2 linked regions of the Cricetulus griseus genome follow. The protein of the gene in region 2 purifies or fractionates together with the protein of the main gene of each other region. This does not show direct contact. Links are inferred from orthologs where the notes say so. Each region holds a gene or a part of one and is shown on either strand. Other genes may lie near its edges.

Region 1 (5,762 bases), on a different chromosome or scaffold from region 2:
CCCAGATTTTTTTTTTTGGTTTTTCGAGACAGGGTTTCTCTATGGCTTTGGAGCCTGTCCTGGAAGTAGCTCTTGTAAACCAGGCTGGTCTTGAACTCACAGAGATCTGCCTGCCTCTGCCTCCCGAGTGCTGGGACTAAAGGCGTGCGCCACCACTGCCTGGCTTTTTTTTAAAAATACTTTATTTAACTTTTATTTTATGTGCATTGGTGTAAGGATACCAGAGCCCCTGGAACTGGAGTTACAGACAGGTGTGAGCTGCCATGTGGGTGCTGGGAAGAGAACCCGGGTCTTCTGGAAGAGCAGCCACTGCTCTTAACCACTGAGCCATCTCTCCAGCCCCTCTTCCCAGATTCTTGCTGTGATGCGGCTGTAGTGTTTTCATGGGGGTTGTTCCTTGTTGGTATACAGAAATAGAGTTGATATGCGTGTGTTTTAAGATCAAGGACAATTTTATTAGAGTTTAAAAGGAAAATATCCTAGGGCAGGCAAGCTGTAAATCACAGACACTGCCCAGATGTGGAGGATGAAAGAAAGGAGGGAAAAGTGCCTGGCATGGTGGTACATGCCTTTATTCTCAGCACTCTGTGTGAGTTCAAGGCCAACCTAATGTACATATTGAGTTCAGGATAGCTGAGGCTTTTAACACAGAGAAACCCCTGTCTGGAAAAGCCAAAAAAAAGCCATGTTATTTGATCTCATCTGGCAGAGTAGTAGGCAGCCACATGGTATGGGAGGGGTATTAAAAAAATAAGGAAGTCCAAATGATTAGAAAAAGCATACTTAGTTTCTAGCCAGCATTTAAAAATAATAGTGCTAAAAACAAAACAAATAAAAAGGTGTTTTTGGCACACATACCTTTAATACCAGCAGAGGCAGGCAGATCTCTGATCTCTGATCTCCAGGCCAGCCTGGTCTACAGAGCAAGTTCCAGAACAGCCAAGGCTACACAGAGAAACCCTGTCTTGAAATACCAAAGAAACAAAAAATTCTGTTGGATTAAACTGAACTTTTATGTGCTGATTTACCTCAATCTGGCCTTGACTTGCTTTGTAGCTGAAGGTAATCTTGAATCTCCTACCTCCTGAGTGCTGGCATGCTAGGTCTATAGGCATCCACCATCACACCTAGTTTATGCGGTGCTGGGATCAAACCTAGGGCTTACAGCATGTTAGTCAACCACTCAACCAACTCAGCTACATCTTTGCTCCTTTTGAAAAAAATCCTTATTTTTGTGATTGTATAAGTGCATGATGTGTGTGTTTGGGTGTTTGCTATAGCAGGTGTGTGGAGGTCAGAGGAGATAGCAACTTTGTAGTTAGTTCTGTGTTTTAACTTTACCTGGGTTCAGGGGATTGAACTCAGGTCACCAGGCTTGTATAGCAAGTGCCTTTACATATGGGCCCTCGATGCTTTTTTGTTATTGTTTATTGTTATTAAAAATAATTTATTTTTTATTTTTATGTGTATTGGTGTTTTGCTTTCGTGTCTGTGTGAAGGCATTGTCCCTTGGAACTGGAGTTACAGACAGCTGTGAGCTGCTATGTGGGTGCTGTAAAGTGAACCCTGGTCTTCTGAAAGAGAATTATCACATATACAGTGGTCTGCCTATAGGCCAGAAGAAGGCACCAGATTGAATTGTAGATGGCTGTGAGCCACCATGTGGTTGCTGGGAACTGAACTCAGGACCCCTGAAGAGCAGTCAGAGCTCTTAACCTCTGAGCCATCTCTCCAGCCCCTTATTCTAACAGGGTGTCCTAGAACTTGCTCTGTGGACCAGACTTAAAGTGAAGACCAGGCTGGTCTCAAACTTGGAATTAGACTTATGAATGCTCTTAAACCTCAAAATTTTGCTAATTATTTTTTTATGATTGAGGTCACTTTTCTGAGTGTATATTGATGCCTGTAAATTTTAGCAAGATGTTTCAGTGTCTTTCATAGTTATTTAAAATGTAATCCCCGTTTCTTTTTTGTCAGTAACATTTTTCCTAGGAATTTGACAGGTGGTTAGCATTTTCAAAAGTTCATGCTCCGTGGGTGAGTGATCCAAGTCTACCTTACATGTCAAAGACCATCTCAAATATAATAGCTTTGGCAGGGTTTTGTTTAGTCCACCTGATAACTACTCAATTTAAAACTGTACAGTCAAAGCCATGTGTGGTAGTACACTGCCTATAATCCCAGAGTCTGGGCTCCCAGCAAGCTCATTTCAATAAGGTGTCTTGATTGTTTTTGTGCAGCTCCTGTTTCTCTAGTAAGAACAGCACTTTCCCGCCAATTGTGTTCACTAGCAGTCTACAAACAATTTCTGTCATAATGATTTAATTATGTCATATTAGCCCACTGTAAAAGGCTAATATAATTTTTTTTTCGAGACAGGGTTTCTCAGTGTAGCTTTGGAGCCTATCCTGGCACTTGCTTTTTAGACCAGGCTGGCCTCGAACTCATAGAGATCCGCCTGCCTCTGCCTCCCGAGTGCTGGGATTAAAGGCGTGCTCCACCAACGCCCGGCCAGTAATGGATTTTTTTATATTGCCTGTATTTGTATGTCTTTATCCTTCATGCCTACCAAAAGATTGTACATATAGTAGATCCCAGAGAATCGATGGATATCTATCTCAATGAGAGAACTGAGGACTGAGCCCGACAACATTCCAAGTGGGTCTTTTGTGGGAAAGGTTACTCAAGAGGGCATATAGAACGAGGTTGCTTACTGTATTCCTTTTTTCCCTTGTAGGCAGTAGAACGAGTCCTGTACCCACATCTGCCCACATACTGGACAAACCTGCAGGCGGTGCTGGATGACTATTCCGTATCTAATGCCCAAGTCAAAGCAGATGGGCACAAAGTCTATGGAGCGATTCTGGTGAGTAGCGAGGCCCAGCTTCCCTTTCTTACAGTAGCTCAGCAGGTTTACTTTGAGATGCCTGCTGGTCCAGGTTTCTTCTAGCTCTTTGTTTACAGGTGGCCGTAGAGCGACTACTGAAGATGAAAGCCCAGGCAGCAGAGCCCAGCCGCGGTGGCTCTGGCGGGAGACTGTGCCATCGTGCGGAGGACTTGCCTTGGGACAGCCTTCTCCTCCAAGAGTCTCCTCCGGGGGGCGGCGCCGAACCAGGCTTTGGGTCTGGTCTCCCGCTGCCGCCAGGAGGCGCGGGGCCAGAGGACCCTTCTTCCTTGACCCTGGCAGACATCTACCGTGAGTTGTACGCCTTCTTCGGTGACAGCTTGGCCACTCGCTTCGGCACTGGCCAGCCCACGCCCACGGCCCCGCGACCACCCGGAGACAAGAAGGAGCCAGTGGCCGCCCCGGACTCGGTGCGGAAAATGCCGCAGCTGACCGCTAGCGCCGTGGTCAGCCCGCAGGGGGACGAGAGCCCGCTCGGCGGAGGCCCGGCGGCCGCCTCCACCGCTTCGGAGAGCAGGCCGCTGCCGCGCGTGCACCGGGCGCGGGGCGCTCCCCGTCAGCAGGGGCCCGGCGCGGGCACGCGAGACGTCTTCCAGAAGAGCCGCTTTGCGCCCCGCGGCGCCCCGCACTTCCGATTTATCATCGCTGGGCGTCAGGCCGGGCGGCGCTGTCGCGGGCGCCTCTTCCAGACTGCTTTCCCCGCGCCCTACGGGCCCAGCCCGGCCTCCCGCTACGTGCAGAAATTGCCCATGATCGGCCGCACCGGCCGCCCGGCCCGACGCTGGCCGCTCTCGGACTACTCGCTGTACCTGCCGCTGTGAGGCTGCCGCCCCTCCAAGAATAAATCCGCACCAGGAAGTGACGTGTCTGTGCTCGTGGGCGGGGCTTGGGCGGTTGGCTTCCTGGTGTCCTGTGCGCCATGGCGCTCACCTGGTTGCAGCGAGTTGAGCTCGCGCTCTTCGCTGCCGCCTTCCTGTGCGGTGCTGTGGCGGCCGCGGCAGTGACCAGGACCCAGGTGCGGCTGCGGGGCGGGCCAGCCTTGGGGCCGAGCAGGCTGGCTCTGGGGACTGGCCGCGGTAGCTTCACCGAGCTAGGGACTGAGAAGTCCCAAACTTGTTTGCTTGCCAGAGGAGCTGGACACGCAGAGCCTATTCGAGTCCAAGATAAACCGGTTAATAAGTTTACTTGGGTGCTGGGACACACAGGCCCAGTCTTTGCATTCACCCAATGCACAAATAGAAACATTTGTGCAAAAAAAAGTAGTATAGTGGAGTGATCAAGGTACCGCAAGATTGTAGTCCGGTGTGTGAAGTGAGGGAACGTATACACTTAGGTACACCAGGTTTATTATTGTTGGACAGTCTTGGTCAAAGAATACTTTGAGTCACTATAAGAGTCTAGGACGCCTTCTTTTACAGGCTAGGGAAGCTGTTAAAGGGCACACAAGGTCAGGACTTTCTCTAGAATCTCTGTTCACGGGGACAGATCAAACTTGCGATTTCTCTTGGGTTTATGTTTTGTATTTCGAGACAGGTTTCTCTGTGTAGCCCTGGCAGTCCCCTGTAGATCAGGCTGGCCTCAAAATAACGAGATCCACTTGTCTCTGCCTCCCAGTGCTGGTATTAAAAGGTGCACCACCACCCCACCACTACTGCTCGGCTCTTGAGGGTTTTTTTTTTTTTTGCGGGGGGGGGGGGAGGAAGATAGAGACAGGGTTTCTCTGTAGCTTTGGAGCCTGTCCTGGAAACCAGCTTAGCTTTGTAGACCAGGCTGGCCTCGAGGTCCGCCTGAGTGCTGAGAAAAATGTGCCCCCACCACCACCCTGCTTCTCTTGCCTTTATATTGTAACCCACTGAATTCTGACCCCCCCTCTGGGCCCTGCAGACTTGGTTCCCAGCAGATCCACATCAGTCTATCCCTCCATTTCACCTATTTGTGAACTCACCCTCACATCTGGCAGTAACCTGCAAATGGGGGCATTGAAGTGGAACCAAGGACTCAACAGCTTCTCTCCACAGGGCTCCTTCGGTGGTAGCTGCCCCTTGTATGGTGTGGCTGCCCTCAATGGCTCCTCTCTGGCCTTGTCACATCCCTCAGCCCCCTCTCTCTGCCACTTTGTATCCCGGGCTTCAGGCCTCTTGGCCCTCTACTGCCTTCTGCTTCTCCTCTTCTGGGTCTACAGCAGCTGCATCGAGGATTCCCACAGGTAATGACCCTACTGAGGACAAGGGGCTCAGGTGAGATGAGTCCCATCTAAGCTACAAAGCTTGTTTTCTATCCCTCAGAGGTTCCATAGGGCTCCGAATTGCTTTGGCCATCTCAGCTATTGCCATCTTCCTGATATTAGTGTCTGCCTGTATACTTCGATTTGGCACCAGTTCTCTCTGCAATTCCATCATCTCCTTGAACCATACAATTAGGTAATGGGAGAGGGAGGGGATTCCGGCAGGGACTATTTCCCTCTATAAGGTACAAGTTTCCATGTTTCTCCTCATCCTTTGGCCCTTATCTCTAAGAACACAAATGTGCTTAGAGTATGTTTCCTTTCTCAGAACTCTCTCTCTACCCCACAGTTGCTCTGAAGCCCAGAAATCCTCATGGACACCCCCTGGAACTGCTGTGCAGTTTTACTCCAACCTACAAAACGCTGAAGTGAGACAAAGGGATATACTAAGATTAAATATCTGTAGCTTAAGAGTGTTCACCATGTAATATATGCTTGCTTGTAAAGCTCAAAGAAGCATGGGCTTGTCTCTTGAGTCTGGACAGAGCACATTGTGTGGGTAGGACTGAATTGGAAATAGCTTCCTTCCTCACACTCCTGTTCTCTTCTCTCACAGACCTCTTCTTGGGTGAA
Region 2 (7,739 bases):
GATGGTCCTACAGCCTGGGAGTCCCTGAGATCCTATAGATGACAAGTCAGTGTCTGGGCTGGTACTTGGCACCAAGAAGCCTGCGCTATGTTTCAGTGACCCAATGAGACATGAACCACAAAGACCTGGGCCCAGATTCTGGCTGGGCTCATCCTTCAGAACACTTGCTTTTCATCAGTAAGTGGGGGACATCTGCTGCAGAGTTTGAGACAATCATAAGAGTGAGGGAACAATACAACATGCCTGCCTTGATGCCTTCAACCAGGGAATGGGCATCAGCCTTAACACTCCCATCACAGCCGTTCTGTCACCTGGCACAAAGGAGTGGGACTCAGCTTTTAACACCCCAATCACACACTGACTGGGGCTTAAGGTTTTTTCCCAATCATGGCTATAGGCAAGTTCATGTGCATTCATTGACCACCCCACAGGAAGAATCCTCCTTTTCTGCCTTTCACCTGGGACAAGCCAGCTTCTGCCTAGCTCACAAATACAACCAACTCCCAGAACACAAAATACTTCCTTCCTCCATGCTACCTTCCCACCCACACAGACTTCTCGTGTCCTTCTTACCACTGGACATGGAGTTCTACTCACCCACACTGCAAGGTCCCAGCTGTCCCAGCAATGTCTCCACAGGGGCTAGCACACAGCAGATTGTTGAACACATGCCAGTGGATAAAGGAATGAATGCAAGATACAGCAATCTGCACACAGGGCATGGTTCGCCTGTGGATGTCAATTGTCATCCCCTAGGCACAAGAACCTTCTCCACTGGTTCCTCTTACTACATTCAAAACCATGTAAGCTGGCATGAGCCCTACTTCCCCTGTGGAGGAGCTGGTCATCTCAAACTGCCTCCTCTGTGGCAGTTTAATGTCTTTAGAGCTGGGTGACAAAATTGATGCCTCATCTACCAAAGGCTCTAGTCATTCTGAACCTCTGTATGTCTACATGTTTATATTCACATATTCCAGAGGCCCTGCATCATTCAACCAGCAGAGCCCACCACAGTGCAGCAGCTGTCTGGAGGCTCTGAGCACCCTGGCAGGCCTGATCTGTGTGTGTTGCTGAGGTTCACCTCTTTCCTTAATCAACCTCCCTACTATGGTATCATCCTTTCTGGGACTTCTCTGTGGTACAGATCCCAACTAGATCCTGTGTAAAGCTTTCTGGTAGTACCACACCACCAACTGTACCAGTAAGCCTGGTCTCTACCTACATTACTTAAGGCTTTTAGTGCTGTAGTGGAGGCCCCAGAATATAATCACACCTAGCCATCATGGCCAAAGCTATAGAATTCTTGGCAAGCAGCTTAGATTCTCACAGTTGCTGTCTTTCAGCTGCAAACTAAGAACATTAAATTCACCCCCACAGTGATGCTTGTGCAAGTCAGATGACTTGCATACATAAAGGATACAGTATAGAGCTAGTACAGGCTCTACACAGGTCCAAACTGGGACATACTCTGTGTAATAGCATGCAAGCTCAGAACAGAACCACATATCTAAGCTGTGGTGCCTCTGAAGGAATAAAGCAACCGGTCTAGGAGAGCACAGATAGCAGAGTCACAGAGCCTCCTCTTTCTGTGTGAGGATCAGTGGTTGCATCTCTCAGACCGGCCCTGAGACTCTTGCTGCTTCAGCAGGTAGCAGTCCATGAACTACACACAGGCAGCCAAGTCCCAAGACTCTTCCTCTTGAGCTTTACTTCTTCCAAAGCTGAGCCTGGACCTCATGAGAACCTGCATCTTGACTCAAGTTCCTCTGGCCTTAAAGCCTGAAAGTGCTGCTTCAGAAGAGGCCTTCCCATCCAGCCTGTTTATTCATCCACATTTTACATGCTTCCATGCCTGGGTGCTATGTGCTTCTGACTGTGCTACACCAATGCAGCACAAACACTAGTTGAGGTGCGGACTCTACAGCCCAAGATTTCCTTTCTTTTCTTTAGCAAAATAAAATATAATAAGATAGAATAAAAACCATCACATCGAAGTTGGACAAGTCAAACCAATGAAGAAAAAGAGCCCCAAGAGAAGTGACAAGAATCAGCGACCCACTCGTTCACATACTCAGGAGACCCATAAAAATACTAAACTGAAAGCTATAATATAAATGCAGAGATGTGGTACAGACCCATGTTGGCCCTGTGCTTGCTGCTTCAGTCTGTGAGTTCACATGAGCTGTGCTCACTTGATTACAAGGGCCTTGTCTCTTTGTGTCCTCTTCCCCCCTCTGGCTCTTACACTCTTTCTGCCTCTTCTTCCACTTGGTATAGCCAGCCCAGTTTCAGGAGATAAAACAAGGTCAGCAGTGGGCTCCCCAAAACTAACACTCTCACTCTTTTCAGTGGCTACTCTAGAGATAGTGCTGGAGGAATGATGTGAGGAAGAAACGTCTCTCTGAAGCAATGACACATAAGGACAAAGATCAGTCAGTAGTCTTGACTAGGGTGAAAGCACTGTAGGCAGAAGAAAGGAAAACTCATCAAGAGAGTAAGCATGAGATCACAGGGAACCATAGATGTTGTCAGGCCTTGCAGGCATTGTAATGTAATCTAAGTAGAACTGGAAGTTGCTGAGAGCCAAAGAGATACAGCTTATGTTTCAAAAGACCTGTGTTGGTGTGTGAGAAGAGCTATAGAACACAAGGAGAAAGCAGGTAAACCATGAGATGTTAAAACAGTAAGAGGTAAATGTCAGCGTGGTTCAGACCAGAATTAGCAGCTACATTCGGCACATTTTTAAAAATAGATGACAGCTAAACAACTAGATGTAGATGAAGGTTTTAAGTTGACTCTGTAGCTGAGCACAAAGTGAGGCTGGGTCACCATGGGCAATGATATAGAGAGGAATGGATGTCATCAGGTAGAGACAAGCTAGAGGAACAGAACAAACGAATGCAACATTTTCAGTTCTGAGGCTCTTCTTCAGGGTGTTTCATGCTGCCTGATCTATACAAATCAAATGCTCAATATACACCAACAACACCACTTATAGGCAAAGCAACCAGATGTTTTTGGAGAGCAGGAGTCAAGGTGTTGGCCATCAGGAAAGTATCTGTAAAGTAGAATCTTTCCTAGGTGGGGGAGGTGGGTCCAAAAGGTCACTCACTGCATATGATGACCTGGAATAGTAAGGCAGTATGGCTGGAGTAGGGAAGCTTAGAGAAGCAGTACCCAACCATACCGGGAAAGAGTCTGGACAGAACAGGGTCATACTTAGCTCCCTTTTCTTTGAAAGCCTGAAGATACTATATGTGCCTGGCGGTAATGGTGACAAAGACAGAGTTCTTCCCTAATAAAGGTGAGGAATAGAAGGAAAGCTCCTTAGAGATCCCTAGAGAACAACCAGGAGACCAGCACACTATCTGGCTGGCACACCAAAGCTCCTGCCACCAGCAAGACACATCTACTGAAACCTGACAGCTAGAAAGCAGACTCCTGGTTACATGCCTCCTCACTGAGAGGCCTTTGTTCATTCTTTACTGGCCACCTCTCACACTATGTCCTGGGTGCTGTAGAGAGCAAGAATTAAACAAGGCACTGCTACCCACGGAGAACCCTAGCTCAGGTCACATGCTGACACCCACAGAAAGCACTCGAAGCCCTGAATGCAGACTAAGTGCATGCGGGATGGGCAGCCCAGGCTTCTAGCCTTCCTCATCACTGTGCCCAGGAGAACCCAACCCTACCAGGGAACTCAGAAGGGACAGCAGGGTCTCGATTGCTGCCATCTGGCTCGAGTAGAAGCTTGGCAAGGTACAGGGCCTGCCCTCCGCCTGCGTTCAATGCACACATTCTGAGGACGAGTGTGAAGGGCAGACAGCTCGGTGTAGGGGCCACGGGTCAAGGCTCTGCTCTACCAGCTGTGTAGCCATGGGCGCCCAGCATTCTCTGGGCGATCCCGTCCGGCCACCTGCGGCCCGCCGCAGCGTGCACCAAACCAGCCAGCCATGCCTTCCTTCTAGTCAGGGCCCGCCGCTCACCCAGTTGCCGAAGCCGAACTGCTCGATGGCGTCCAACAGCAGCTGCTCCTCGCGGCTGGTCCAGCCGCCCTCCGCCTCAGGCCCCCAGAGAGTGAATCGTCCACCGTCCACCAGCTGGTAACCGTGGTAGCGGCGGTGGTGGCCGATCTCCGCGCCAGCCGAGAAGCACTCGGGGCACAGCTCGATGTCCTGGCACTCGGTGCAGCGGAAGCGCAGCGGGCTCACCTCGGCCAGGCAGTACACGCAGTACTTCTTACCCAGCTCCGCCATCTTCCCCCGCTCGCCCGCCGCCCGGCCCGCAGTCGCCGCGCCTCCGGCCGTCAGCGCCCCGCCGCCTGTCGAGCCCACTGCGCCCACCGCGCCCGCGCTGCTGCCGGCCGCTGCCACGGCCGTCCCCGCCCAGGCGCCGCCGGAGCCCGCCAGGCGGGCCGCGTCCCGCCTCAGCACGCAGGCGCCCTCCGGCCCGGCCCGGCAGCCGCCGCCGTCGCCGCCGTCTCCCCGCCGCATCGCGCAGGCGCCCCGCGCGCGCCCTCTTGCGGGCAGCCGAGCCTCCGATCTGCGCCTGCGCGCCGCTGCCTCCCTCCGCCTCATGGACTCACGAAGCCGTAAGGCCCCGCCCCAAACCTGACAGCCGGCAAGGCGCAGACCGGAAGCCGGTCTGCTGCGCCACACCTCTCAAGAGACAGTGTCCAATCAGCGCTTACATTCACCTGTTCGTTGTCCTTCATTGGCTTAATATTGCTGGGAGGCGGAGAGAAAAGGAAGGCGGACGACCAATCGCGGGGCCCACCGCGCGCGCCCTGGTTGCCCCGGGAAACCTAACAGCAGGCGGCCGCGGTCCTCAGACCTGAGACTGCGGGTCGAGCATGGACAGCCACGACGGGGATACCGAGGGCGAAGGAGGAACTGAGGAAGCCCCGACCAGGCAGTCGTCCGAGACCAAGGTCAGCTCCGAACCTGAACCTCAGACCCCGGCCGACCCTGCGGAGCCGGAGCCAGAGCCCGGGCCGGAGCCGGAGCCGGAGCCGGAGCCGGAGCCGGAGCCGGAGCCGGAGCCGGAGCCAGAGCCAGAGTCTGAGGCGGAGACCCAACCTGTTGCGGACGACACTGAAGCAGAGGTTTTGGAGGGGAGTGATGACGCTCATGTCGAGGAAAGTCTGGAGGCCGCTACGGCTGCGAGCGAGACAGCAGAGGCTGCGAGCGAGGCCGTGTCCCGAGAGCCAGAAAGTCTGTCAGAGCCGCATCCCGAGACCGAGCGGGAGTTCCAGGAGGGGGACGAAGACGAAGACGAGGATGAAGACGAGGACGAGGACGAGGATGAGGAACCCGCCGGGCGGGAGAAGCAGGACAAGGTGAAGAAGGTGAAGAGCAAGGAGTCACGGTTCCGGCCCTCCCTGCCACTGACCACGATCGTCGAGGAGGCGGCTGCTCCAGCCCCACAGGCTGAGAAAGAGAAAGCAAAGGAGTCAGAGCAGAAGCGAGGTAGCGAGGAGATCCGGGCGACAGGTCGAGAACAACACAAGAAAAGCAAAGAGGATGAGGACATGGAAGAGGAAGACAATGAGGACTTCGAAGACTTTGAGTGGTCTGCAGATGTTCGGAAGCTGCAAGAGGAGCAGCTGCGCGGTGAGCTAGTGAACCAGTACCACACCCTGCTGTTGGAGCGGAACCGGTACCAGCGCTACAATATGTACCTACAGCAGAAGATCTCCGAGACGCTACGAAAGAAGGGCCTGGAAGCAGCTGAACCTGTGGACAAGAGTGCGGAACCAGATTCTCCCGAGAAAGAGCAAGCATACTTGCGTTATCTGGCCATGCTGGAGGAACTGAAAAAACAAGAGGCGGACGACCTACAGTGGTACCGTCAGGAGGTGCGTGAGATGAAGCATCAGTGCCAGGAGAAGCAGGCCAGGGTGGAGAAAGAGTGGCGGCGCTTCCAGGCCCTCAAGAAGCAGGTGGTGATGCAGGTAATGGGCAGCTGCCGCATGCGCGGTGGACGCCAAGCGGCTCTGAGAGAGGTGGAACAGATCCAGGCGCTGGAGGATAAAAAAGAGAAGGAGATGAGCGCATTGCGTCTCGAGAACGTGCAGCTGAAGCAGAGCCTGGTACACTTTGAAACTAGGATGAAGGCCCAGGAAGATTTGGCTGAGGGGCTGCTCCTCATCGACTTTGAACAGCTCAAAATTGAGAACCAGACCTTCAACGAGAAAGTCGAGGAACGAAATGAGGAACTTCTAAAACTGCGCAATAAGGTGACCAGCAACGTGCAGATTATAACCCACGTGAAGGAAAAGCTGTCTTTCATAGACATGGAGAACTCATGCAAAAAGGCACAACTTTTGGAAATTGAAGCCCAGGTGGCTCTGGGAAGAGATCTATTGACAAAGACGAAGCAAACCCGAGACAGCTTGCGAATTGACAACATCAAACTGAATCAGAAAAGTGGGCTTCTGGGTAAGGAATCACTCCTCCGAGACTTAGAAGAAAAGGTGGATAAGACAGAATTTCTCAACAAGCGCCTGGAATCCCTGAAGCGCCATCATGCAGGGCTCACCTTGTCCTGCAAAGGGGTGAAGCAAAAGATCAGGGAGGCCAAAATGTTCCTCCCCTCTTGACAGTCGTTGACAGGACAGCTGGCAAAACCTCCAAAACTCTAGAAACTTTGTCCCCCACTCTCTTCTGCCCTCCCATTTTCATTCTATATGACTTGGGATGCAACTTTTTTTTGTCATTTCCAGCTTCCAAATTCCTCCTGAACACATCAGTTAGTAGTAGTTCTACATGAGGTTAAGTAAAATATATGGAGAGAGAGAGAGAGAGAGAGAGAGAGAGAGAGAGAGAGAGAGAGAGAGAGAGAGAGAGAAGAGAGAGAAGAGAGAGAGAGAGGCGAGGAGAGGAGAGGAGAGGAGAGGAGAGGTGGTTAAACCGACTAATGATGAAAAGCCTTCCTAGCCAAGCAGTCCCATAGTCTAGAAGAGTGTTAGAACTGTTCCTTGTTTAACCAGTAGCCAAAGTACAGAAAATCCCTGTGCATTGGTCTGATCACTCAGTCATCTTTGTACTAATTAAATTGTATAATCTTGAATCACTGTCTCAATTAGCTCCCAAATTCTCTTCATCTCTCTTCATCTCATCTGTGGGTGTTTGTGGGCATGTGGAGGCCAGAACATACCAGTATTTCTTGCTCTTCACCTTGATTTTTTGAGACAGGGTCTCTTACTCAACCAGGATCTTGCAGTTTGGTTTAGACTGCCCAGCTGGCATGACAATCTTAGGATCTGCCTGTCTCTGTTGCCCAACACAGGGGTTATTGAAATGCAAGGCCAAGTCTGGCTTTTTATATGGGTGCTGGGGATTTGAATTCAGATTCTCATGCTTTCAAACAAACACTCTTTCTTACCTTCTGAGCCATAACCTGCATCAGCAATCTGGCTGTTGGCACTACATAACCCTACTTCCTTTAGATGACACAATTTTGTTTGCTAAAGTATATTGGCTTTGAAGTCAATGAAAGTTAAAATCCCTTTTCTGACTTCCATGGCTAGAACACACTTTACATAAGACCATTCAAATGCATAACTGAGAATAGCTCAAAAATTGATTTCTCCCATCTACTTCCTCCCCTTAGTTGCTGCAATTTTGATTTTCCCTCTACCCTGTCCATCAAGACTGTAGCAAAGCAGTAAATTGCTGCAACTGGAAATGTCGTCTTAGTGACTCCAACAGCAGAGGGCCCCAGGCAGGATTCTGTAG

Evidence for each region. The genes of interacting proteins can lie anywhere in the genome.
Region 1: the proteins of Tada2b (region 2) and Taf6l purify together in Homo sapiens (affinity purification with mass spectrometry; 3 studies listed by BioGRID and IntAct, counting the BioPlex papers as one, with this or other methods). This does not show direct contact. The link is inferred for Cricetulus griseus from reciprocal best matches to the Homo sapiens genes TADA2B and TAF6L.

The regions. Positions count from the first base shown.
Region 1 is NC_048596.1:51,317,452-51,323,213, forward strand, and holds the end of Taf6l (TAF6-like RNA polymerase II p300/CBP-associated factor-associated factor 65 kDa subunit 6L), read left to right. Parts: intron 1-2,737; coding exon 2,738-2,866; intron 2,867-2,964; coding exon 2,965-3,726; 3' UTR 3,727-3,767; downstream 3,768-5,762. Other genes in the region: Tmem179b (transmembrane protein 179B), read left to right, coding at 3,825-3,920, 4,924-5,111, 5,191-5,325, 5,479-5,557, 5,746-5,762. UniProt on the Homo sapiens protein: Functions as a component of the PCAF complex. The PCAF complex is capable of efficiently acetylating histones in a nucleosomal context. The PCAF complex could be considered as the human version of the yeast SAGA complex.
Region 2 is NW_023276807.1:105,485,655-105,493,393, forward strand, and holds the start of Tada2b (transcriptional adapter 2-beta), read right to left. Parts: upstream 4,341-7,739; 5' UTR 4,257-4,340; coding exon 3,987-4,256; intron 1-3,986. Other genes in the region: Ccdc96 (coiled-coil domain-containing protein 96), read left to right, coding at 4,853-6,601. UniProt on the Homo sapiens protein: Coactivates PAX5-dependent transcription together with either SMARCA4 or GCN5L2.